Coturnix japonica: one gene and its partners. The protein of the gene in region 6 interacts with the protein of the main gene of each other region in a pairwise test. Links are inferred from orthologs where the notes say so. Each region holds a gene or a part of one and is shown on either strand. Other genes may lie near its edges. The genes, in order: HEYL, TOLLIP, GRAP2, FOXS1, C23H1orf94, RBPMS and MGAT5B.

What was found.
Region 1: the proteins of RBPMS (region 6) and HEYL interact in binary tests that used the Homo sapiens proteins (3 or more experiments, as listed by UniProt). The two-hybrid records come from large-scale screens. The link is inferred for Coturnix japonica from reciprocal best matches to the Homo sapiens genes RBPMS and HEYL.
Region 2: the proteins of RBPMS (region 6) and TOLLIP interact in binary tests that used the Homo sapiens proteins (3 or more experiments, as listed by UniProt). The two-hybrid records come from large-scale screens. The link is inferred for Coturnix japonica from reciprocal best matches to the Homo sapiens genes RBPMS and TOLLIP.
Region 3: the proteins of RBPMS (region 6) and GRAP2 interact in a two-hybrid assay, tested with the Homo sapiens proteins (2 studies listed by BioGRID and IntAct). The two-hybrid records come from large-scale screens. The link is inferred for Coturnix japonica from reciprocal best matches to the Homo sapiens genes RBPMS and GRAP2.
Region 4: the proteins of RBPMS (region 6) and FOXS1 interact in a two-hybrid assay, tested with the Homo sapiens proteins (2 studies listed by BioGRID and IntAct). The link is inferred for Coturnix japonica from reciprocal best matches to the Homo sapiens genes RBPMS and FOXS1.
Region 5: the proteins of RBPMS (region 6) and C23H1orf94 interact in binary tests that used the Homo sapiens proteins (3 or more experiments, as listed by UniProt). The two-hybrid records come from large-scale screens. The link is inferred for Coturnix japonica from reciprocal best matches to the Homo sapiens genes RBPMS and C1orf94.
Region 7: the proteins of RBPMS (region 6) and MGAT5B interact in a two-hybrid assay, tested with the Homo sapiens proteins (2 studies listed by BioGRID and IntAct). The two-hybrid records come from large-scale screens. The link is inferred for Coturnix japonica from reciprocal best matches to the Homo sapiens genes RBPMS and MGAT5B.

The regions. Positions count from the first base shown.
Region 1 is NC_029538.1:4,818,278-4,821,302, forward strand, and holds the end of HEYL (hairy/enhancer-of-split related with YRPW motif-like protein), read right to left. Parts: intron 2,218-3,025; coding exon 1,577-2,217; 3' UTR 501-1,576; downstream 1-500. UniProt on the Homo sapiens protein: Downstream effector of Notch signaling which may be required for cardiovascular development. Transcriptional repressor which binds preferentially to the canonical E box sequence 5'-CACGTG-3'.
Region 2 is NC_029520.1:9,904,947-9,908,446, reverse strand, and holds part of TOLLIP (toll-interacting protein), read left to right. Parts: intron 1-3,185; coding exon 3,186-3,400; 3' UTR 3,401-3,500. UniProt on the Homo sapiens protein: Component of the signaling pathway of IL-1 and Toll-like receptors. Inhibits cell activation by microbial products. Recruits IRAK1 to the IL-1 receptor complex. Inhibits IRAK1 phosphorylation and kinase activity.
Region 3 is NC_029516.1:45,896,431-45,900,479, forward strand, and holds the start of GRAP2 (GRB2-related adapter protein 2), read right to left. Parts: upstream 2,801-4,049; 5' UTR 1-2,800. UniProt on the Homo sapiens protein: Interacts with SLP-76 to regulate NF-AT activation. Binds to tyrosine-phosphorylated shc.
Region 4 is NC_029535.1:8,982,401-8,986,055, forward strand, and holds FOXS1 (forkhead box protein S1), read left to right. Parts: upstream 1-1,182; 5' UTR 1,183-1,846; coding exon 1,847-3,085; 3' UTR 3,086-3,155; downstream 3,156-3,655. Other genes in the region: interferon regulatory factor 4-like, read left to right, coding at 1-331, 435-553, 659-799. UniProt on the Homo sapiens protein: Transcriptional repressor that suppresses transcription from the FASLG, FOXO3 and FOXO4 promoters. May have a role in the organization of the testicular vasculature.
Region 5 is NC_029538.1:4,083,030-4,086,361, reverse strand, and holds the end of C23H1orf94 (uncharacterized protein C1orf94 homolog), read left to right. Parts: coding exon 1-87; intron 88-416; coding exon 417-586; intron 587-1,372; coding exon 1,373-1,444; intron 1,445-1,782; coding exon 1,783-1,958; intron 1,959-2,473; coding exon 2,474-2,549; 3' UTR 2,550-2,832; downstream 2,833-3,332.
Region 6 is NC_029519.1:30,663,444-30,667,672, reverse strand, and holds the start of RBPMS (RNA-binding protein with multiple splicing), read left to right. Parts: upstream 1-1,429; 5' UTR 1,430-2,056; coding exon 2,057-2,308; intron 2,309-2,384; coding exon 2,385-2,423; intron 2,424-2,529; coding exon 2,530-2,592; intron 2,593-2,971; coding exon 2,972-3,122; intron 3,123-3,395; coding exon 3,396-3,526; intron 3,527-3,800; coding exon 3,801-3,863; 3' UTR 3,864-3,870; intron 3,871-3,981; exon of another isoform or gene 3,982-4,085; intron 4,086-4,229.
Region 7 is NC_029533.1:3,615,953-3,619,452, forward strand, and holds part of MGAT5B (alpha-1,6-mannosylglycoprotein 6-beta-N-acetylglucosaminyltransferase B), read right to left. Parts: intron 3,471-3,500; coding exon 3,324-3,470; intron 2,573-3,323; coding exon 2,456-2,572; intron 1-2,455. UniProt on the Homo sapiens protein: Glycosyltransferase that acts on alpha-linked mannose of N-glycans and O-mannosyl glycans.

The DNA of each region.
Region 1 (3,025 bases), on a different chromosome or scaffold from region 6:
GAGCGAGAACGAGTTATGGGAAAGGAAGTTGAATTTTCACCGTTCCCCGGGAAATTCTCGCAGCCTCTTTCACGGCCGGGATCGCTGAGGATCCTCCCCGCTGAACAGGGGCTGCTCTCAGCTCTTCCCACAGCCCGGAGCCGAGAGGTGACTCTGGTTCTGCTCACAGAGGGTCAGCAGACACAGGGCAGCCCCGCAGTCTGGCTGGACTGGTCTCAGCGCGTCCCAAGGCATTTCTGTGGATGCTGGGAGCTAAATGAAACGAGCTGTGCTCAAGCCATGGATTATTGCCAACCTCAGGGTGAGAGCCATGAGATCCCTGCTGATCTCAGCTCATGCAGTGGTTTGCAAAGTAAGAAGTCACGGGAGCAGCCACCACAAGCAGCGTTCCTGCTGGGGATGTTCCCTTACACTACACCTCAACAAAGCTCATGTGCTGCAACGCCAGCAGTCATCCCAGCATCCAGACTGGCAGAACAGCTGCACACCAACACTGCATCTCACACCAACAGGGGCTGGAAAGACTTTATTTACCACCTTTGCTGGATGTCACAGCTGTGACTCTAACAGAGGGAGGCTGGGCTGTTTGCTGCCGCTCTGGCACACTGAGCAGCACAGGACAGCCGGGGCCACGGCCTCCTCTGGCTTTACAGCGAAGGAAAGTGTTCCTGGCTGCTTCTGGCACTGGGGACCGGGGGTGAGGAGGAGCAGCAGAGGCATTTCTGTACACTAAGTGCAGCGGCATTCACCAGAACAACCAGGAAGACTCTCTCTCCAAGCAGCAGGGCTGCACACATCACGTGCTCTGCAGGAACGCAGCCCAGCATCTGTGGACACACAGCAGTGCAGCAGCCATGGGTTTTGGTCCAGAACCAGGGGTGAGAAACACGAGACCATGACACGGTGCTGGAGAGAGAAAACATGCGGGAGGAGAAAGGCCAAGAGAAAACGGGGAGGCACTTGGAATGCTGGTCTGAAACGCTGTGCTCTCAATGGGGGAAAGAGGTGAGACGGCTCCTGCAGGGTGATGGGCAGAGTGAAGGGCTGCTCTTCTCACGTCGGTGTCAGAGTCACCCCCTCCACGCAGGGTCCTTTGAAATCCGGTGTCTCACCTCCTCTCACCTGGCTGTGGGCTGAGGGCTGTTGGAGCCCAACAGTGCTCTGCTGTGAGTGGGATGAGTTGGGCTGCATCAAGGAAGAGCAGTGCTGGGAGCAGCAAGACCCATCCCAGGACCCTGGAATTGGGTGCTGCAGTTGGGGAACACAGCCCGAGTGAGTCCATCCATGAGCTCCAAGTCCCCAAGGAGATAAGGCAGCAAAGAACGGTACTGGGCTCTGCCAGAGGGCCGGGGTCTGCAGTGCCCCCCATCCCAGAGAACGCATGGAAGCAGATGGAGCTGACACTTGTGGGCACTGCAAAGGATGAGCGACGGTGAAGTGAGGAAGGCAGCGTGAGGAGCGGGGTGGGGGGACAGCAAAGAGGATCTTCTGGATGGGTCCTTGGCTTCCGCAAACAGGAGGGGCGCCCGGTTGTCTGGCTCCGCTCTGCAGCCCATGGGCAGGGGGCGCTGGGGGCTCAGAAGGCGCCGATCTCAGTGGCCCAGGAGCGGCACAGCCGGGCTGCCCCCACCCTGAGCGCGGGTCCCTGCGCAGCTCCCAGCGCTGCGGGCGCAGCGTAGGCTGCAGGCAGAGGGACACCAGCGGGAGAGAAGAGCAGAGCGGAGATGGGGCTGCCCTTGGCTGAGCCGCCCCTCGGTGCCCCCGATGGAGATGGCAGCCGAGGTGCGGCCGCCGCGGTGGAAGCCGAGGGGGCAGCTCGAGCCCTGCGGGTGGATGAAGCCATCCTGCCGGGCAGGGGGCCCCGCTGTGACGGCAGCACGTCGGCGGGGACGCGGCGCAGCGGGGCCGGCCTGGCGGTGAGACGTGGATAGGACGCAGTCACAAGGAGAGGAGCGGGAGCTGCTTCCCGGCGAGGCACCGGCAGCGGGCTGTGCAGGAAGGACCACGGCCACGTCTGCACCGGGAGCAGCGAGGCGGCCGCCGGGGACGGCTCCATTTCGGCCACGTAGTTGTTGAGGTGGGAGAGGAGCCGCAGGCGGATGGGGTCGGCGCTGCTCTGTCCCTCCAGGACGCCCAGGTACCGCACCACCTCGGTGAGGCACTCGCGAAAGCCGATGCTCCTGTAGTCCACGGCCAGAGCACGAGCGTCCAGGAACCCTGCGGGGACACGGGGATGGTCGGGCTGTGCACTGGGCAGGAGCTCACATGGCCCCCCCACCCTCTGTGCCATGCCATAGGTTTCACTCGAGGCGCTTTGCTGCCGTGTTTTGCCCTGCAGCAGACAGCCAAGAGGGTGTCCATGTGTGTGACAACAGCACTGCGTATCTCGGTGGGACAGGACTGCCAGGTCATGAACCCGTTAGCATGTGGGACGAGCGAGAAGGTTCATTAACTGCACTCAGGGAAGATGGCAGCTTTTCTTTTGGGCTCTGTGAGTTTTGGCTGCTGGGGATGTACAGAAAGCTGGGGGTGTGCTGGGATCCTCTCTATGGCAGCGCATCTCCATCACAGTGCCACGTTCCTCTGCCTGAGTCCCAGTGACTTCAGCCCTTGACACCTCCCTTACACTGACCTCCCAGTGAAGGAATGGCTGAACCGGGGACACTGGGCTGGGAAAGCTCAGAGCCACATGAAAACCAATAAGATAAAACACAATGGCTGATTTTTCAGCTCCTGCTCCCTCCTCGTAGCTTGGTGAGACAGTCAGCAACAAAGCAGAGAATGTCACAGAGCAGTGGAGCACTGGACCACTCTGCTTGCCGGGGTCTCTGGGGACAATGCAGCCCTTTGTTGCAGTGCAGTCAAACTGAATATCTAAACAAATGTTCCAGACCGAGTTACAGCTCTGAAGCAAAGCCTGGATGCCAGCACTGTCCTCAGAAAGCCAAAAGTGGGTGGTAAGCAAAGCCAGAGGCTTCTTTACTGGAGCTGTGATCCCCATCCTGTTAACTGGAACAGGACAGAG
Region 2 (3,500 bases), on a different chromosome or scaffold from region 6:
TGACTGAACAGTAAAATAAGTGTGTAATGCCTTGTGTGCAGCTGGGTAATATTTACACTCTGAAGGCTTTGTTGGTGCTTCCTTGCTGCTTTTAGCGATGGACTGCTGTTGTACTTGCTTCACTTACTGGAATGCCATTGCTAATGCCAGCATGTTTGCCATTGCCATTTCATTGAATTAGAAAACAGTGCTCTGTTCTTCTGATGTGTAACACCTCTTAACTGAAAGCAACGAAGGAGCATACCATTATACTTAGAGGATGTTTCAGTTTTCACCTGTTAGTGAAACAAGCTGCTTAACATGTAAAGCAGCTTTTTACTGAACAAAGAAAAAGCAGAGGTTTATTACAGCTACTCTGATAACCGTGTTATTCATACGTATGTCATACATACCATATATGTTTATGTTAACTTACATAGTGTTTAAGTTTATGCTTAAGTCTTGCTTACTATTTTGTGAATCAGAAATAATAGATGCTTTTAGTCTGGGGCGGGGACAACAACGAAGTCAAGAATAATGTACTATTGAAATTGGCTATGTTGACTTCCATGAAAAAGAAGCATGTATTCTAAAGTGCTTATGAAATATCACTGATACTAACTTCCATTGGTGTAGTCTGAATGTGGGGAGAACAATACTGGCAAGAAATACCTCATCTCTAAAATCAGATATTTAGACTGGAAGTACTTAATGTTGCATGTGCAGATATCTGGCCACATATTTACATTGTTTTGATGTAAGCAGTAGGGAAATTGTCACCTTTATTATTTTCTTTTCAAAGACAAACTTAATGGCAAGCTATAGGATGCTGTGACACTTCAGAAGTGTACTTGATATTTCATTTGTCTTAATGTTTAAAACTAGTCTTTTTTACATACAGATCTTGAATAGCCTAAGCTGATAGCTGGATAGTCTTATGGTGTTGGTGACTGACTTTATTAAGTTAGGAAACTTCACTTAAAAGGCAATCTGAAATGCTGCTGGATGTAGTTGTATTTGTTTGTATTTTGTGCAGGGAGCTGTATTTGCAGTGTTGTTTTAGGACCACTTTGTGGTTTACTTCTGGGGTACGACCATAATCTAATGTGCCAGATGGTCAAAGAATCTGATAGTGCTAAGCACAATCTGAGGGAACGTGATTCAAATGGCTTAAGAAGCTGTAGAGCCCAAGTTCAGGCTGTTGTGGAGGGGACTGCAGGTGTCCTTGTGAGGTAGTATGGCTGGGAAGAAATAGTTTGAGTGTGTGGGTAACAAAGTTATGTTGAGAAGAGGCTTTTATTTAGGTGCCAGTGTGAACCTTTTTAAATAGATGCGGCCTCGGTTCCTTTTTTGCTTCTAATAAAGCTGAAGAAGATTACAAGGAGAGTTTTAAAATCAGAGAAGACTGATTAGCATGTCCAAGACGCTTACAATCAGTAGTGGACTTCTGCATGAAACTGAATAGGACTGAAGTCCAGATTGAAGGAAGAAACAGCAAAGAATATGTGAAGTAAAACAACAGCTGTGGTGCACAATCAAACTGTATTCAATTAGAGGGCACTGTCAACTAAAGTTTGATGTAAGTTAAGGTGGGATTTGTTGATCCAACTATTAGTATGAATTTTAATACATCATTTTGAAGGCTGGAATGATTGTACAAGTTAGTAAGCATAAACAAACAGTGGTTCTGTAGGAGCAGCTCATACTTCAGGAACTGTAGGTGTCTTGCACCTACTTGTTACTGGCCTCCACCTGGACATGGAGCCATTGACCACCACCTCTGTCTGCGGCCTTTCAACCAATTTCATATCCATTGAGTGGTCCACCCATCAAATCCACATCCCTCCAATTTGGAGATGAGGATGTGGTGGGGCACCATGTCAAAGGCCTTGCTCAAGTCCAGGTAAATGACATCGGTCGCATTACCTTTGTCAACCAACACCGTCACTCCATCATAGATGGCCACAAGTTTGGTTAAGCATGACCTTCCCTTGGTGAAACTGTGCTGGCTGTCTTGGGTCACACACTTATTCCTCATGTGATCAAGCATGTAGTCAAGGAGGATCTGTTCCGTGATCTTCCTGGGCACAGAGGTGAGACTCACCGGCCTGTAGTTCCCTGGGTCCTCCCTGCTCCCCTTCTTGTATATGGGAGTGACGTGACCCTTCCTCCAGTCATCTGGGACCTCACCTGACAGCCACGACTTCTCAAATATGATGGAGAGCAGCTCAGCAACCACCTCAGCCAGCTCCTTCAGGACCCTGGGATGCACACCATCCGGCCCCATAGACTTGTACTCATTCAGTCTCAAGAGGCACTCTCGGACTTGCTCAGCCTTCACAGTGGGGAGGGATTTACCTCCCTGGTCTCCTCATAGAGGGTTGGGGATGCAGGGCTCAGGGATGTGAGGAATACTAGAATCCTGGCCACCAGTGAAGACCGAGGCAAAGAACTCATTCAGTACCTCAGCTTTCTCTTCATCTGTTGAAGCCAGTCCTCTTAAATTTACCAAAGAAGGTACACCCATTTTGGCCTGTCTCTTCTGGCCAATGTACCTGTAGAAAGTCTTACTGTTTTTCTCATCCCTCGCCAAGTTCAGTTCTGCCTGCACCTTGGCTTTCCTGATCCTACGTCTGCAAGTTCGGATGGCATCTCTGATGTTGTCACTTGGAGGTACTTGAAGAAGTCTCATGTACTCTTGTGGGCTTAAGGGGAATTGTACTTTTGCTGCTCTGGGGCTTTGCAGGTGGAACTGGAAGGAGCTTGAAACAAGGAGGACCATTTGCTCGACACTCATTTGTGTATGTGGTTGAGTCCTTTCATGGATTTCCTTTTAATGTGATGAAGATAACATTTATTTTTTAATGTCTACTTATTGGATATATATATTGCTGGTTTAAAAAGCAGCTTATCGCAATATAAATGCAATAGGGCTTAAAATACACTTAGTATCTGATGACTTAATCATGTGTAAGCCTGGTTGATATAGGTTGTATCTTAATTCTGAGCTGTACCTATTGTTATATTGCTTACGGCTTCTGTAATGTAGCTTGGGCAGAGGACCAGTTCTAGGAAAGTGCTTTTGACTGCAATGGTCTTTGCAATCTCTGAAGCAGGTGGATTGGTGGTAAGGGATGGACCACTTCCTTCTTCGCAGTCATTTATTTTTCCCTTGTGTGTGTTTTTTTTATTTCTCCTGCATGCAGGAATGCCTGCAGTCTGTAATCCTGACATGGTACCTGTGGCAATACCACCTCCTGCAGTCAATCCTCAGCACCTGTGTAATGAAGAGGACCTGAAATCTATCCAGGACATGTTTCCCAACATGGACAGAGAAGTAATCCGCTCAGTGCTAGAAGCTCAGAGGGGGAACAAGAACGCAGCTATCAACTCCTTGCTTCAGATGACTGAAGAATCCTAGAATCACTTCCTGCATTGTGCTTTTCCTCAATGCCACTTATTTTTACTTGCCAAGCCAGGGATTTAGCTAGAGGAAGAATTTCCTAACAGTTTGCTGTTAG
Region 3 (4,049 bases), on a different chromosome or scaffold from region 6:
TTTGCTCTATGTGTATCAGAGCTGCAAGTATAGCTTAAGCTTGCTGTCTAATTGCCCCTTTTTTATTCCAGGTGCAACTCTATGGATGCAATTCAGACCTGATCTGAAGACTGTCCTCTGTTCTTGCACTGACATTCTTTGCACTCCTGTTTGTAACTTCCCACAGCCATTCTTGCTGATAGAGTGTAAGGGTTTTAAATAGGGGAGGAATTAGCCATTGGGACAACTAGATAAACAATAATACTCTTTCACGGTAGAGAACCAAAGAAAAAAGACCAAGGATAATTACTTTAGTAAGGGATTTATTTCAGTATTTCTTCATATGGTGGTGGGGATCAGAGCCGACAGTGCAAATGAATCCTGGAACTCCTAATGCAGAGCATTAATCTCATCTCGAGGAAAAAACACCCAACAACAAAACACAAAACAAAGCACAACAAACAAACAAACAAACAACAGAAATCAAAGAGAACAAACAAAAAACCTCCAAGCCCCAAACCAGTTCAAAACAATAAATACAAATCCTGTCTTTGATTTTTGCTCCTCAGTCACAGGATAGGCAGCAGGGCTTCTCTCTGCAGGGAGCAGGAAGGGATGGGGAGCCTTTCATTTCTCAGTCTCCCAGGTGCTAAAGATGCCACTGGAGCCGTGACCCTCTCGAGAGAAGTGTTTGTGAAACGGTTAAAATCTCCTCTCTCACCTCATTTTCAATTTCAGCAATCACAACCATGGGGAGAGACCAGGAGACAGATACCTCTTCAAACAATCTAACACATGGATTAAATGTGCTTTTCATTGCCAGCGGCTGGATTTAGAAGCGACTCAAATACCATGCACAGTGTTGGCTGTGTTGATAAATCAGCAATGCTGTGGCCTTAAGCTCTTCCCCCACAAACTACTAAAGAAGCACTAACCCATAATCCTGTCTTTGAATGGCAGCCTACCACTTTTCATCACCTGAACTTCAAACCACCTCTATTTTCTGATCCCAGTCCTCCCTCCATCTGTAACTCGAGGATGTGCAGGTCAGTGCTGGGCCCTCATGAAAAATCTCCTCCAGGGGCCCTTTCTTTTGCTCTCTGAATGTGTGTGACTTTGAGCACTACCCCATGACACACCAAGATGAGAGTTTTTTAGGTAATCATCAGAACTTCCATTTCTCAAGCACCTTTTATCCCAAAGGACAGCACTGCAGTTTGCAGGCAGTCAGATTCTGCTTTTAACTGCCTGGTGCAACTCCTTTAAGCTTTCAAGTAACCAAGGACAATTTTAGACTGTGCATAATGTTCTGAGAGAGAAAAAAAATCACCTTTGTGCAGGGTTTAGCATGAAGCCTCTGCAACTTTTAAAGGAGGATTTGTCAGTTCTGAGTATAGGCTGATGAGTACTTCCATTTTGTGCCGGTTCTCTGCATGGAGGTGAATTTTCTCTGCAGTTCCCCACTGCAACGAGGCAGATCCAATGGGCACAGGGCTACTGCTGTTCCGTGGGACTGATGCTGCAGGAGGTTCATCAAGAGTGAAGAGAAAAGCAGCCCAGCTCTGAGAGCATGAGGTAGGTATTTCAGTTTGGCAGAGTGCCATTCCCTGAGCAAGAACATCAGCCTCTCTGTTGATGAAAAGAGCTGAGGCCTAAATCATGTCAGCAAGCAGCGTAATCTGACAACAGCATCCCAAAGAGTTTCCCCTACACCAAATTGGATTAAAATTCAGTAATAACAATGCCAGGGAAGGTCACCTCCTATGAAGTTTATCACTCTGGGATGGCTCAGGTTCACCCCTACTCAATCTCACATATTAACATCACAGAAGAAAGCACGGTTTCCTACAAAGTGGCTGCTTAAAGCAGCCCTATGAACAGAATGTTGATCTCCCTGCCTGCAGCACAAATACCTCCAGCAGGCAGCTCCATCCAGCAAGGCTTCGTGCTGACAGACACAGTGCGAGCTGCTGCGTCTTTGTTCCGCTCCGCAAGAGCAACCTATCGGACTGATGAGCAACCAGGGACAGGATTCAACCCTGAACATCTGTACAGAAACTCCTGATGACATTTCAGCAGAAACAATGGCGGAGGGACCCGTTATCTAGAAGAGCTGTGATAGATAAAGGCTTTGTTGTCACCAGCTAAGCCACATACAAGTGGCATGGGAATATTTCGTTCCAAAAACACAAGCCTCTTGTTACTGAGTTAATGGCACAGCTCCGCTGACTGTCAGTGATAAGAGAGTAAAATTTATAAGGGAGAACAAGCTACTAAAGTGCTCAGCGCTGTATGTTTCAGTCTTAGCTGTGCTGCCATCCAAAGGAATGCAGGGCTCTGGGCTGAGCCCTTGCACAATGCTCTGACAAAATAAACCTACAAAGAATAGGATCCAGAGAAGGAAAACATTTATAGAGCTCTATGACCAACAGCAGTCAGTAAGAAGTAGCCAGGTGAGGATGGCTCTTGGTCACCCCGGGAAGTCTGGGGCCTCGTACTGCTCCAAGCACACAGAGCAGATCAGGGCAGCACCCTGAGACGCCATGCACAGGCAGCGCTGAAGAGTGCCACAACTCTGAACAGTGTTGTGAGAGCACAACATCATGAATCTCTGCTGGTGCTGAGGACCAGAGGCTGCTTTCCCCAGCCCAGTCTACCCCACCTCCTCCCACAGCTCCCAGCTGGTTGGATGTGGCCAAGATGCAGGGATTTGTCTCTCACAAGCACTGCTCTGGTGTGGAAGCCACCCGACAAGATGACATAGGGATCCCATGCTCTTCCCCTGCCCTGCAGTGCTTTACTTCTCCCTTCAAGATCCCACCTCCCTCCCTAGAGCTTTTCCCACTTAGCTTGGTCCCCCATCTCTCAGAGAAACACTTGCCCCATACCTTTTTTCAGTAGCTCTCCTCTCCTGTGGCACTTTTCTAGAAAGCAGGAGGTGTGTTGCTGTCTAGGGGAAAGGAAGGAAAGGAGAGCTCAGCCCATGCAGGCTCCTCCCTGCAGTGACAGTGCCACGGTGGTAATGGGTCCACGTGTGTGGATGAGGGTGGTCAGGAATTGGCATGGAGGACGGAGGACGGATGCTGAAACAGTGTCCATCACAGGACAGAGTGGGACACAGACCATTTTCAATCTCTAAAGTTGAAGATACTCAGTATGACACGTGCTTTTAATGGTGCTGTCAGTTTGCTGCCACTGCCTCAGCCCATCCTTGTTTAACAGCCAAATAACAGAGGGTACGATCCCTCAAAAAATGTGAGTTCTACCCAACTATAGAAAACAGAAAAGAGCACAGATCTGCAAGTTAAATGAGAAACCATCATAGGTTCGTTGAAAAGCATATCTTGAGGAACAAGGAGCTGAAGACATAAAAACACGTAATAAAATTATTTTCAAAGACAACAGAAGCAGGAAGCCTGCCAGAGCGTCTGTAAGGCTGACAGATGATTGAGATGTAAAAAGGGTGCTCAAAGAAGATAAGGATGAGGCATAAAAGCTGAGTGAATCCTCAGCATCCGTGGGTCTTCCAAAGGGATGTAAGCTGTTTCCCACATTGGGGTTTTCTTTGTGGAGAAAAGCCAGGGAAACTAGAAGTGGTTTTAGGACAAATCAGTATAAGAATGGGAGTAAATCCAGGGATTCGGTATTTTAGAAATCTTGACTGAAAATTAAACGGAGCGTGAAATAGTAAAGGTTGAACAATTGAGCTGTGACATACAATGTAGGACTTAACTCAGTCTCCATATTAGGGCAAAAAGCAGCAAACATGATGCCAACCATTTTAAAAGTGCTTTGAGGGGATGCAAAGAGCAGCAGGTCTAACTTCTGTATGCCTGAAATTAATATGCAGAAACCATAATGAAGAAAAAGATTACCGTGAAGAGAGAAATGACATAGAGGTTGCACCTTGTAGCTTTTGCAGAAGGCAGTCCCACTGCACAAATCTGATGCAGTTCTGTGAAGGAAATGATGAGCATGTGGGTGCAGGTGATCATTTGAGGTAACATACATTCATTTCTAAACTCTTTTTGATGAAGTCTCTTACTGAAGTGTCTTTAAAAGCCTCCCTC
Region 4 (3,655 bases), on a different chromosome or scaffold from region 6:
CTCACCACCCGCACGGCCGAGGGCTGCCGCATCGCCACGCGCACTGAGGGTCCCTACGGCCCCTCCCGCATGGAGCTGATCGAGTTCCCCTCACCACGTGCACTGGGAAGCAGCGGGTGGACAGTCGCTGTCACCGAGGTCCTGGAGAGGCTGCTGCCCCACCTGGAGCGCGGGGTGCTGCTGTGGGTGGCCCCCGAAGGGGTCTTCATGAAGCGGCAGTGCCAGGGCAGGGTGTATTGGAATGGGCCGCTGGCCCCACACCGGGACTGGCCCAACAAGCTGGAGCGGGAGAAGACCTACAAGCTGCTGGACACACAGCAGTTCCTGGAGGGTAAGTGCCTGTCAGCCCCAGGGTCCCATCCCCATCACGGGACCCATCTGCTGGGGGACAGCTATGGGGATACAGGGTGTCCCATCCCTGTGCGGTGTTGCAGAGCTGCGCAGGTACCTGAGCCACGGGCAGCCAGCACCACGGTACCAAATCCACCTGTGCTTCGGTGAGGAGTACCCCACCAGCACCGGCCACCACCTCCAGAAGCTCATCATGGCCCACGTGAGTACACACAGGGCTGCTGATCCTTGTGCCCATCAATGGGGCGATGGGGACCCTCAGTGCCAGGCACGGACCCCATCCTCCCAGCAGCTCCGTGCCCTGCAGGTGGAGCCGGTGTTTGCACGAGAGCTCTTCCACCACGCCCAGCGCCTGGGTCCTGCTCTGCTGCGGGGCTGCCCCCAGCCCTGTGCACCCACTGCCCCCGGGCGCATCGCACACGTCCTGCAGCAGCTCTGCCAGCCCTGAGCCGGGCAGCCGAGGGGACACGAAGCCTGGGGACACACGGCCGCCCAGTGGCAAACCCATAAAGCCACGTTCAGCAGGGATGGATGCGGATGGATGCTGGCCGGAGTGGGGCACTGCACGGAGCGCTGTATTTATTCCCCAGGAGCCCAGCGGAGGCTGCTGGGTGCAGCTGTGCCCAGCAGGGGACAGCCAGCTCTGTCCTGGTGCCTCGCGCTGTGGGGATTTGCTGTCTGTGAGCTGTAGAAATAAAGGTTGTGTTTCGGTACTGCCGGCTGCGGCATCGGGGCTGGGGCTGTGCTGCCGTGCAGGCTGCGGGGGAGCTGAGTGAGGCAGAGCCAAGAACTGCAGGGACATCAGGAGCTGAGCGCTCTGCTTGGAGCCACGCAGCTCCTGCTGCCCTCAGCCCCATCCTGCCCTCTGCTTCCCAGCGCTTATGCAGGGCTGTGTGCAGCAGCGAGGTGCCCTCACAACCGGGCACCACGTCCCAAAAGCACTTGCTGCCCATGGCTCGGTTTCCCCCAGTGGTGGGTGAGGGGGCTCCCGGCGGGGCTGGGGTCGTGCTGCAGAGCAGCGCTGACGTGCCCAGGTAACTGGGCTCAGTGTGTGCACGGGGACCTGGGTCAGGGTGGGGACATGGCGCAGAGCAGGGACACGGCACGGTGCGGGGATACAAAACCACTCCAGGGATGGGGTTACCCGTGAAGCCCCATCCCCACACTGCATCCTCTCACCCCACACCATTGCTGCACTCCACATCAGCACCACCCGGGGCTGGGTGCTGCGAGCGGGCGGGATGAGCCCTGTGCCCCGTTCACCTCCCGTACCCATCACAACCCCACAGCGGTGCCAACCCGAGCCCGCTGGCTCCCAGCCCCGGGGCCGGCCCCGACTGCGCGTCCGGCCGCAGGGACCAGCACTGGACGATGGGGCCCCGCTCCGCCCTGGGCGGCCCTACGGCACCGTAGAGGAGGGGCCCACCGCCCCCACACCGTTGGGGCGTTTTAATGGGCTCGGCCGGAGCCGGGCAAGCAGAGTGAGGACGGCAGGATGCAGCCGGAGCTCCCGGTCGGCTCCGCAGCTCTGCGCGGCCGCACGGCCCCGGACAGCCCCTATCCCGGCCCCTCGCCGCCTGCCGAGGCCACCAAGCCGCCCTACAGCTACATCGCCCTCATCACCATGGCCATCCAGAGCACTCCCGAGAAGCGCATCACCCTCAGCGGCATCTACCGCTACATCATGGGCCGCTTCACCTTCTACCGCGACAACAAGCAGGGCTGGCAGAACTCCATCCGCCACAACCTGTCGCTCAACGAGTGCTTCGTCAAAGTGCCCCGCGACGACAAGAAGCCGGGCAAGGGCAGCTACTGGACGCTGGATCCCGACTGCTACAACATGTTTGAGAACGGCAGCTTCCTCCGGCGCCGCCGCCGCTTCACCAGGAAAAGGGCCCTGCAGGATGGAGAGGGGGATGAGGGACGCAGGAAGACCCCCAGGACCCGCTCACGGGCAGCGCTGCCAGAGGAGGGGAAAGCGGAGAGCGGCTTTGCATCACCGACAGCAGAACAGAGGGCAGAGGGTATTGGGGTGCCGGGCTGTGCTGGGCAGCTCTGTGCTCACCCGCGGCCCAAAGTGCCATTCTTCACCAAGGAGCCACTCGGGGTCCCGTTGGAGAGCCGCCCGCCCGCCCCCCCCCATCCCAAGCAGACTGCCTTCGGGGGACCCCCGGCTGCGCTGCCGCTGCCCCGGCCAGGTCAGTACCCACTGCCCACAGAGCCCGGCCACCCCGCGCAGCGCTCCCCGGACCCCACTGCATCCCCCCCGGGTGATGTGGAGGGCAAAGAGCCGGCGACCCCCACCATGGGGCTGGGCCAACCCTTTGGGCAGGTGCCCCCCGTTTTCCCCAGCACCCTGCTGGGCACGGGCAAGCCCCCCCCGTCTTGCTTCCTCGACGGTGATGGCTACAAGCAGCCCCCCCTGCCCGTGTTTGGCTCCTTTGGCCGTGGGGGGCCCGAGGCACTGGGGGGCAGCTACCAGTGCCGGGTGCAGGCGCTGAGCTTCTGTGTGAACGAGCGGCCGTGCGGTGCAGCGCTGGAGCATCTCCTGGCTGCAGCCCCCACTGCTGCCACCGCCACCCCCCCGGCCCCTCGCCAGCCCCCCTTTGGGGTGGGAGAGCAGAAGGAGCCGTGGAGCACAGGGGGGACGATCCCGCTGCAGGGAGGTGGTGGTTACCCCCTGGGGCTGCCCCACTGCCTCTACCGGACGCCCGGAATGTTCTTCTTTGAGTGATGGACTGACATCTCCCCCCCGCCCTGGTACCATGCAGGTACTGTAGAATAAAGCACGTTTGTTCATGCTGCCTCTGTGTCTCTGCGACCCGCTGGGGGTGGGGAGCAGGCAGGGGGCATCGAGGCCACTCCGTTCCCACCCAGATTGCTGCTGGGACATGTCTCTGTGGCCGCCCACTGTGGCTCTCCTCCATGCAGACCCCCCTTCTGGTGCCCATGGGCTGGGTGGTCTGGCATCCCCAGATGTGATGGGGATGGAGCCCCTTCCTGATGCAGCTTCTACCTGGATTGACAGGAGGGAACCCTCTCTATAAGGGGCTGGGGGATGTGCTGCACCCTGGAGCAAACCCTGCACTGCTCACACATGCCTGGTTTGCCCCATGCGCTGTGTATGGTATGAGTGGTGCTGGCCTCAGCACCCACAGAGAGAGCCAGTGGGGGAGAGCTCCATGGGATGGGGTGTATGGGGAGATGGGGCTCTCCCTGTATGGGACCATCTCCTTGCCAGGTCCTCACAGCACCCTACAGAGCTGGGCTGTGCCAGGGCTGCCTGCAGGCATGGCTACAGCTG
Region 5 (3,332 bases), on a different chromosome or scaffold from region 6:
CAGGACAGAAGCAGCAGCTCCCAACACTTGCCAAGATTTGCTCCAGACCTGACTCCAATGCAGCCACAAAGGCACTGCAGAATCCAGGTATGGATCAGGACACAGTTTCTTCTGTGCTAATTTCCTGGTCTCAGATAGTTTTGTTCTTACAGAGCTCAAAACAAGAATCTTTTGCCCCATTCCAGTCATTCTTACAGCTCAGGAGATTAACTTCATTCCAGGTCCTGTGGGTTGGGGTTTAATGGCCTTACATGTGAATCTGATCTGCTCATTTCTAAGCATGGGTCTCCAGAAATACAGCCTGCAAAAGCATCTTAAACACTTTGCTCACAGGGAGTGCATCCCCTTAGCTGCAAGTGCTTCATGGTTTAATGAAGGGAATGCTTAATTATCTTCACCCTTGTTTTGTTTTACAGTAACTACTGCAGCACTGGATAAAAAAATAGTTATATACAATGCCAGCACTTCCAATCCACACTTTCCCGTTACTACAACCACCACAAACTTAAACCAGCCAATGTGGCCGAGTCTGAGCTTCCCTCCACTTCCTCTATATCCAAACCAGCCAAACTACCCACCCTTTCAGGTAAGATTGAATAAACCCACATTTTAGAACATTTCCAGGCCCATACTGACAAGCTCAGGGCAGCAACTACCTCTGCTATGAGAACTGCTTTCTGATTTGTAGGGTAGAGCCTAAAAGAAACCAGGCTGCTGTCCTACAATGACTGATCACACTGGTTCGCCATCAGTGTTAACATCCAATGTAATGCAGTCCTCTGAGATGTTAGTGATCAAAGGATGATGTTCTATTGACATATACTGAATGCTGACCTCTCTTGGCATTCATTAGTTTCCATGTTTATGTTGCATTTACAAATATTTATCCTGTATTACAAATATTTTGAGCTAATAATTCATTAAGGATATTTCACTCGGTGGCTCTGTTTGCACAACAGGATGCTGCTTGCTTTCTTTGCCTGGCGAAACAGGACCTCAAATCAAAGTGAAAAAGCCATCTAAGGTTATTAAGATGGCAAATGCTTAAGTCAAAAGGAATGAAAGAATGGGAATTGTACATACCTATGGTTTACAGCCCCAGAATTTCCCCTGAAGCCCACGGTTCAACAGAGACCTACTGAGCACAGGACAAGTGCAGTCCTTCCACCCCCAGCATTCAGCCAGGATTTGGGCTTCTCTGCCTGGTCTTAGGGAAATAAAGGGAAGACTTCCCCAAATCTAAGAAGTTAATTTACCTCAACCTGGTTTCTCTGAACACAGCTTTACACTAAAAAAATTCATGCAAAAGAAATAATAATTAACAGAGCAACTCAAACTGTTTTAAAAGTCATGCTTCACATTCGCTTAACAGGGTCCATACCAGCGAGCAAGGATCCCTTTCCAGCAACCTCTGCACCCTTCCTATGGATGCTATACAAGACAGGTGCGTTCAAACAGCTACGAATGTGCTTCAGTTTGCAGAGCACAGATGCTAAGCACAATGGATTAGTCAGTACTGTTTGTCCTATACCAAGACTGACATTGATGCCATGACTAAAACAGATCTGGGGACAAGATGCAGAGCTGGACTAAGTTAATTTAGTTCTTTGGAGCAGTATGTATTGCAGGATAGCTCATTAGATGGCCCTGAGCCTTTAACTGAAGGGATCTATTACATATGCTCAAGTTTTGTACCAAATAATTTGTCTGTCTTCTCCATTCGGACTGCACATCATTAGACTCACCCCATTCCCATGTGGTTTCTTTCTCTCTCCTCCCCAGGGGGCTCCATACAGCCCACAGATGTACCGGTCACCCTACACTCCTATGCTGAATTACATCCCCCTTGTCCAGCCTGGCTTCCCACACCAGAGGGCCCCAGCTCAGCTGCCCACCAGCATCCAGGATCTGCCAGCAGCACGTGATGGGATGCGGTTCACATTTCCTCCTCCTTATGGGTACGACAACGCAGATCTTCTTTCTAGCTTCATTACCATCCCTTACTGTACACCTTCATAGAACTCACAGCCTAATCACAAACTGGGTTCCCCAGCTCCATTCTCACCCAGTGCCAAGTCAGAACACAATATGGAGTATATACCCAATAGAAACTTCTCAAATAGGTTTGATACAGGAACAAAGTAATTTGTTTTAAGCTAACAAAGCTGCTGTAGGATAAGATCACACCTACAACTTTCCAGTCCTCATGGATAAAGCATGAACTTTTTGTTAGCAGAAAGGAGATGCTACAGCACGATAGAAACCAAAACATTTTGACACAGAACATCATGAAAAGATTCACCTCCATAAGCTTCTATAATAACCAATGATCCAACACTTAAAGGACTGACAGCAATAGCTCAAACTTCCCCCTAAACCCCCTTTCCAGAAGCCATATTGTGTCTTTTAAACAAGTTATTTGGGGATTAATGCAATCTCCTGAAGCCAGACTGAATGTTACTTCTTGTTTTAGGTTTGCTGCTGTGCCTGGAGGAGCCGTGAGGCCAACACACCATTACCCCCCCAATGCGAACTGCGTCAACTTTTAAGAGAACCAGTTCTCCTATTGCAATAGCACCAGATTTTTATGTATATATCAGGATTCCTAGGATCCCATAAGAACTTTGTGTTTCCCCAGAGAGAAGATTTCTATCTTGAATATAAGTCCACGTGACTTACATGTTAAGAAACAGCTGCGTGACAAATCAGAAGTAATTTATTGTTGTTGATTTTTTTTAGGATGACAGAAAAAGGGGCTTTTTCCCTTTTGGAAGACAAAGACGTAATAAAAATGTTTTATTTATGACAGATGCCTGAACACTTAAAATTCAATGTTGGTGCAATAAAGACTTTTTTTTTCCCCAAACAGAAGTTCTGGCCACAAATTCCAGCTACGGTAGTTGTAAGGTGTGCATTCAAAGTAAGGGGAGCACAGATGCAGTCATCCCATCCTATTACTTCAACCCTAATGCTGAACCACACGTTAACCTGACTGGTAGCGCTAAAGATGGCCAAGCTATAACGTCTGTATGAAGAATCCTCTTTAAATGTATTTCGTTGGTTATTTAATTCAACTTCAAGGCTCTGATTTTGTCCCTTGCAGATCCTTTAGGGAACTGCAAACTAGCCAGGATGTACAAAGAAGTTCCCTCCTGCAAGGAATGGGGCCATAGGATCGTTATAGGATCAGGGGTCTGACCACAGCTGGAGCCCTAGTCAATAACACCAGCACACTCAGGCAGGATCACTGTTTCTTTAGCAAAGAATCAAAGGCATTAATGAAGATACTTATCAATGTTTCCTTCCTTAGCCATTACTCAACACTGTGAGCC
Region 6 (4,229 bases):
GCCGCCTGTGTCCCACTGGCTTCCCCACACCAGCCGTTGTCACGCCTTCCGGCCCTGTGTTCCCAGCTGTGTCACACCTCTTGTTCCACGTTCTGTCCCGCATCCCGTGTGCCATGTGCTCACACCGTGCTCCCAGCCTTACGGCCCGCGTCCCCATCGCTGTCCCCAGCCCCGCGTGCTACGTACCCAACCTCGCGTCCCACGTCCCAACTCCAACGTCCTCGTCCCCAGCCGTACGTGCCACGCACCGAACCTCACGTCCCAGACCGCAGCCCTTTGTCCTCCATCCCCACCCCGCGTCCCGTCGCCCCAGCTCCGCGTCCCACCCCCGCTCCCGTCCCCGGCCCCGTCCCACCCCGTGTCCCCACGTCCCTCCCCCAGCGCCGTGTGGCCGCCCGCCCGGCCCCGCCCCGCCCGGCCCCGCTCCCTCCCGCCCGCCGCAGGGCCGCGCCGGAGGCAGCCGCGGGCGGGTGGCGGAGCGGCGGCGGCACCATGAGCAGCGGCGCCGCCGAGCGGGAGGGCCCCGCCGAGCCGGGCCTGCCCGAAGAGGAGGTAGCGGGCCGGGCGGGGGAGGGGGAGCCGCCGAGGGCGGGCCGGGTCCCGGGGCGGGAGCGGTGCGGCCCCCACGCGTGTCCGCGGGGTCCCGTCAGCCTGGGCGTGGGGCTCGGGGCGCGGCGGGAAGCTATGGAAGTTGGTGGGGGGGGAGGCGGAGCGGCCCGGAGCCGGGTGCGCCTCGGCACAAGGGCTGTGGGACGCGGGGCGCTTGGACTCACGCGGGGTGCGGGCACGGCGCCTCGTCCCCCGGAGCGGAGGCGGCGGCACAAGGTCCCGTCGGGCGGCACGGCGGCCGCGCACAGAGCCTGGCCGGGGACGGGAGCCGGGACGGCGGCCCCGCTCGGCTCTCGGCGGCACCGCTCCCGGCACAGCGCGAGGTCGGTGCCGCCGCTGCCCGGCCGCCGCGCCCTCACCCCGAGTGCGCGGGCACGAGGACGGGTCGCGGTCACGCCGCGGGCGGGGGTCGGGGCGGGGGCAGCCGAGCGGCTCACCGCTGGTGGAACATTAAAGCGAGCCCGGGGAAGGTGATCGGATGCCTGGGGAATGAGTCACCGCGCTCCTCCCGACGGTCCCTTCCTGCCCGAGCTGACCGGCGGAGCTCGGCGCTGGGGCGGCGGAGCGTGACCGCGTCCTTGGGGCAGCCGAGGGGCCACGGCGCTGACCCGGTGCCCGTCGCACCGCCCGCGGCCGCCGCTGCTGTGCCGAGCCGCCTCCGGGCCGCTCTCGGGCGGAGCGAGGCCCGCCAGGTCTCCCCGAATGTCCCCGGGGCGAGGAGAAAACCTGCCGGGCGGGGACAGCGCGAAGGGGACGGAGCAGGCACGAGGCTGCGCCCCGGTCTGTCCGTGGGCAGCAGCAGAAACAGAGGGGTGCGGTGGGGTGGGCACGGGGTGGCTCCGGAGCACATTCACCACCCTCGCCTGGTGACAGTCCCGGGCTGTGACGAGGGATGGTGAGGGGTGAAGGCGAGCCGGGGAGAAAGGCTGAGCGCGGCAGGGTGGTGGGGCTGCCATGGGGGGTGTCAGCCCACTGGCGTGGAAGGATCCCTCCGGGAGGGGTCCCCAGCCCCCACAGAGGGGATTCTGCCACTGCCCACCCCGGCCTGCACTGACAGCATCTGCAGGGCCCGGGGAAGGCTCCAGAGCCACAGCCTCTGTCAGGGAGCTGCCCCGCTCCGTGGCAGAGCAGGGGCAGCCTTTCCCCACGGCTCCTTGCTGGGGAGACCGCATCGCAGCTCCTTCCCCAGCCTCTGCTTGTCTCTGGTTTTGGGCAGGGGGGAAAAGCCTAAATGGGATTTCCCCCACCACCCCCCTTCAAGCTCCTGCTGTAATCTGCGCTTCTCTCCCTGCTCACTGAGCACCGCAGCACTGGCCCGACTTGGCCGACCTGCGTTTGAACTTTCAAAGAAAACAAGTCATTACCGAGGAGAAGCCGCATCTCTGTGAGGCCTAATTTCGGAGGGTTTTTTTTCAGGGCCTTTATCTCTCTTATCTGCTGCGCAGCCATGGGGCTAAATTACCCGGAAAGTCAGGCTCGGGCGGGTTTAGCTTTCAGGAACACAGCTCACAGCGGGCACTTCCTTGAGGCCGTGAGCACAGAGCTGTGTGCAGGAGCGTGGCCTGGAGGCCCTGGGGAGCCTCCTGCAGGCCCACAACCAGCTGACGCTCTGCCCCTGCAGGTGAGGACCCTGTTTGTCAGCGGCCTGCCCCTGGACATCAAGCCCCGCGAGCTCTACCTGCTCTTCAGGCCCTTCAAGGTACTGCACCCGCTATGGGGCTCTGAGGGCCTCTGAGGCCAAATGAAACCAATGGTGCTTCTCTTCTCTCCCGCAGGGCTATGAGGGGTCACTTATCAAGCTCACCTCCAAGCAGGTATGGGCTGCACCGTGCCCCCACCTGCCTGGGGGCTGCCCTCACCAACTGCTGGGGATGTGGTGGGGTCTTGGCCCTGACCGCCCTTCGCCTCCTCTCTCCGCAGCCCGTGGGGTTCGTGAGCTTCGACAGCCGCTCAGAAGCTGAGGCCGCCAAGAATGCACTGAACGTGAGTGCTGGGACCCCCTAGGGAACACCAAAAGAGATGGATCCCAGTATCTATTACCCCGTGGAGACCTCCTGGGGAAGCCCGGTTCCTCCCCATCCTTGCATTGAGGCAAAACGCCGCTAATCCCTTGCTGGGAGCGTGGCTGCACGGGATACCGACTACCAAATATGGTGCTGAGCTCGAGGATGTCAGAGGAATGTGAGCCACGGGGCCATGCTCGCTGCCAAGCACATGAGGTCACGGCCACCCCAGCAGCCCGTGGGGATATTGGGACAAAATCCGAGGCTGTTTTAGCCCAAATGGCCTTCTTGAATGGGGGGCAGCACCCTACCACAAGATTCAGCCTAACTGACCTCTGCTGCCCTGTTCCTTTCCACAGGGCATCCGCTTCGACCCTGAGATCCCCCAGACCTTGCGGTTAGAGTTTGCTAAAGCCAACACCAAGATGGCCAAGAGCAAGCTGATGGGCACTCCCAACCCCAGCACGCCCCTCCCCAACACTGTACCTCAGTTCATCGCCAGGGAGCCCTGTGAGTGCTTGCATCCTGACCCTGGTCCGCCCAGTATATGGCCCTGGCAATGCCCCTTTCTTACTGAAGCAGTTGGGGCAGTGATACCTTAGGAGCTGGGTGCAGGGAAGCTTTTGGAGAGGCACGGCAACTGTGGTTGGGTTTGGAAACCAGCTGCTTGTGCTTGGGATGACGCAAGGGCAGGTGACGGTGGCCTGGGCAGAAGTGCAAAGCTTATACCTGCTGTCCACTTTCCCCTTGCTTTTAGGATTAATTTTCCTCCTTTTCCTGCAGATGAGCTCACAGTGCCTGCACTTTACCCCGGCAGCCCTGAAGTGTGGGGGCCGTACCCTCTGTACCCAGCGGAGCTGACGCCTGCTCTACCTCCTCCTGCGTTCACATACCCTGCTTCGCTGCATGCCCAGGTAATGGCACTGGCTCACAGCACTGCAGCCTTTCTGACAGGCAGAGCAAGAGGGAGGGAAAGGAGGGGAGCTCTGGGGCCAGCTGCCCAGAGGAAGAGCAATGGTAAATATTATTGCAGCCTCATACTTCCCCTGTCAAGGCAGCGCTGACAGGCAGCACCTGTGCTCCTCCTGGAGGAATCAGCACTGCAGCCACCGCAGCCCCAGGGTATGGCTGCACTACCCTTTGCTGCAGTTTTCCTTCCTGCTCACCCCCTGCCCCCATGTCTTGCAGATGCGCTGGCTCCCTCCCTCCGAGGCTGGGTCTCAGGGCTGGAAGTCCCGTCAGTTCTGCTGAATGCTGTGTAAGTGCCCCCCGGTGTCCTCCGTGTAGCACACCTGCGGTGCCAGCCAAAACTTGGGTAGGAAGGGGGACGTGCCAGCCCCATCCCTGAGCCCTGCCATGCCACCCACAGGTCTCGGGTGTGTGATGGCGGCCGACGGTCAGTCTTGTGGGTATGAACAGAGCCCCCCGGCGGCTGCTGGGCACGCACGCTCTCTGCAGAACCACAGTGTGCTGGTAAGGAGCGCAGTGCTCGGGCACAGGCTGTCCCCCCATGCTTAATCATCCACAGCGGGGGTGGGAGTTCCAACTGCCCTGTCACCCCACCCCCTCTCTGCCATACAGCTTCCTGCCCTATAGCAACACTGGTCACACTCCTCT
Region 7 (3,500 bases), on a different chromosome or scaffold from region 6:
ATTTTCTGCACCTCCAAAATAGCTGTCTCCTTTGAAGTACCTGTCAGAGCCAAGCTCCAAAGGCTCAGCCTGCCAACAAGATCCCTCTAAGCATCTCTCCACCATAAATATCCCACCTGAGATCTCAGCAAGGCTGGAAATCGCAGCTGCTCTGTCTCATTACAGGTGTGCCGTGTAATTGGTGCTGACACCATGACAGGCATTGATGCTGCTCAGTTAACCAGAGCCAGGTCTTGCAGGTTTGGGGTTGCAGCACTCAGCCTCACACCCCTGCACTCACAACAGCAGTGCTGGGGGGGCTTTGCACGGGGTGATGCTCTGCCCTTGTTCTTGAAAAGGGATTTTGCAACCCTCCCTTGCATGCATCGGTGGGGATGCAATGCAAAGCACAAAGGTGCTTTGGGTTTGTTTCTTTTACAGACCCCATTGGGTATCCCAGAACTGCTTCCCTTGTTGCAAAGGAAAAGGAAGAAAAACATAATCCCTAAGTAATGAGCAGCAAAATAATGCAATTGTCAGCTGCCCCCCGGCAGCAGGCTGGGAGCACTCAAACCAGCTATTTTCGCTGCGATGTTTAATACGCCACTCTTTCAAGCATAGGCTGAAATGTATAATTTTCCATTATATTCCTGTATGTTTGACTTTAATATAATGATGCCTTCTCCCTTCGCTACACCAGAATATTGGGTCTGTTAAATGGCTTGTGCTGGGACAAATGGAAAGAGCTGAAGGCTGAGAAATCCTTGTGCCTCGAAACCTCTCTGCCCCTCTCAGCCCAGGCTATGGCAGCGAGCTGCAATTCATTGCTGGTACAACAGCAGGGGGTGGCATCTCACCCTCCTGAAAGTGCTCAGCTGAGATTTGCCTTGAAGGTGCAAAGCCAAAGGTGTGTGGTTAGTGACTTCTTAATGAAGGGGGGAAAGGAAAAGGGGACAAAGGGAGAGGAAAAGGGGGGAGGGGAGAGGAAATGGGAAAAAGGAAAAGAGAAAAAGGAAAAAGAAAGAAAAAGGGGGGGAGGAAGGGAAAAGGGGAGGGGAGAGGAAAATGAAAAGGGCAAAAGGAAGGGGAAATCAAAGAGGAAGAATAGAAAGGAAAAGAGTAAAACCAGTTTCAGGTCAGTTTTTAATTCCCAATATTTCCCAGCAAGGAGAAAAATGCTTTGTTTCAGGTCAGACAATCTGTTTGGTTTGGTGAGGCAAAGGGAAATGCATCATTTCAGATACAAGTTTCCCTAGCAGGTCATTTCCAAACAAAGACACACAGATGGGAAACAAAAACACCTTATTTCATTTCAGTAATGGTGAAATGCAACGTTTGGAGCGAAAGAAATAAATGGATGGTGATTATTCTGAAGGAGAGATTTGCCAAACAGTCTGAAAACACAACGCCCTGTTTTGCTATAGGAAAGAAGGAGGCAGAAAGCAGTTCCTCCCACCTGGCTGAGCACTGAGCTGCCCGTTCTCACCACCCATCAGCTGTTCTCATTTCCTGCTGTAACCAGCAGTAGTTTAAAGACAAGATACCGAGGGATTCCCAAAGCTAATAGTGGGGCTTTTAAAGCTGGGAGGTTGGTCAACTGTTAGTCTTAATTGCATTGACAGCATCTCTAACACAGATATGTTAAAAACAGACAAACAGGCCGTTGCTGACTCTTGCTCTGCTCGTTCCCTGCTCTGCTTGCAGATGGTAAATATACAGATCACATTTAAAAGAGCAAAGAGCAGAGGGGATTGGTGGGCTTATCTTATTGTGCCTCTCGGTGTATGGGAACTTCTCCCTGCAGAGCTGTTACAGCACACTGCTCTGGGTTGTATTCATTTGGGGTGAATTTAGGCTTGCACACCCTGACAGCCCCTAAAGGGGCATGGCCAGCAGCAACAAGGCAATGGGGATCGTCCAAAACAAGGGGTCTGTGGGACTTCCCTGCTCCATGGAGACATCATTCAATAGACCATGAAGCCATATTTCCAGCATAGGTGCCACACCACAAAGCAAAATGCCCAGAAAACCCCACAGCCGAGCACCCCCAGGCTGGTGCCACATTCTCTGTGCTGCTGCCTCATCCACACTCTCCTCCCCTCCTTCCTCTCAGCGACGTAGGAGATGTTAATTAAGGAAGGGAGGAAGGATGTGTTGTGACTGCACCACAACTGCATTTCTATGAGCAGCTGACGTGGGAACGGGGAGAAATCTGGAGATGGAGCTGATCAGCCTGCAGCACAACTTCCTCACAACCCCCTTTTTATTTCTTACCTTTCCTTTTTTAACAGCAGAGATCGTGGCGAGGCGCCGACATGACCTCATCCACACTGACCTCACCTCACAGCTGCATGGTGATGCACCCACCCCAAAACGCTGTCACAGTGAGGGTACAGCTCATCCCAAGGGCAACAAAGAGCAGATGAGAGCTGTTCTCACCTTGGCACACAGGCTCATTTTGGGGAGCCCTTCTCACCTGGGTCCTCAGAATTGTTTTGATAGCAGCTTCAAACTCCTCGGAGTTATTGTAGTCGACAGTCCACACGTGTGGCTTCCCGATGAAGTCCTCGGCGTACGGGTGCTGGGAGGACACCTATAGCACAGCACAGGAGCTGTTGGTTTGCAGTTGTTGGTAGCACCAAATGCTGCTTTTCCAGCCTCACTCTGCTAAAAGGCAGCTAGAGCCCTGGGGGCCTGGGTAGGGGCAGGAGGAGAGAGGATGCTGAGCTGTCTTGGAAGGCATTGCATAGCAGGAGAGCCTGCTAGAAGAAGAGCCATGTGTGCTTCTTGCTTGCTTTCCATTCTCATTTGTAGCAGTGACCACCTCCTCCCATCCTCCACATGAACACCCCAGGGCACTCCAGAACACTGGGAGCCATTGGGGACAGTGTGACACAGCCCAGCCGAGCTGAGGGAGTGAGCACTGTGCCGCATTATCCACTTCATTAATAATAAAAGAAGCAATTTTCTCAACCCTTTAACTTTTAAAGAGTTCCTGCTTCACTTAGATTGAATTCCCAGCAATGGGCAAGCCTGGGAGGGATGTCATACTCCCCATATCCTCCTCATTTTACAAAAATACAATGGGCTGAGGGGGATCAGGCTGCCAGCAGGACACCAGCCCTTATTCTGGGAGGGATGTGAATGGATCAGCACAGTGGGAAGGAAACGGGCAATGGATTCTGAGGGTGGGGTCTATGAGCATCCCCCTGCATCACTCTCCTCTACAACCCACAGCCCCTTCCATCCAACAGATGCATGTTGGGATGATACATTCACATTTTGGGATTTGGATCTCTCCGAAGATCTCAGTCAGGTGCTTTTTCCCACCACTGAGCACTTGCCTCTCTGGAGGTGGGCTTCCCACGGAAGAACTCATGGTTGAGGGAGCTGTGGGGAGGGTTGAAGCGCGCCTGCAGGAACACACAGCCGTTGGCGATGGCTTCCAGTGGGGCCGGACCCTCGTAGGGGAACCCAAAGCCGATGAAGAGCTGTGGGGAGCAAACCCAGGTTGGTGATGT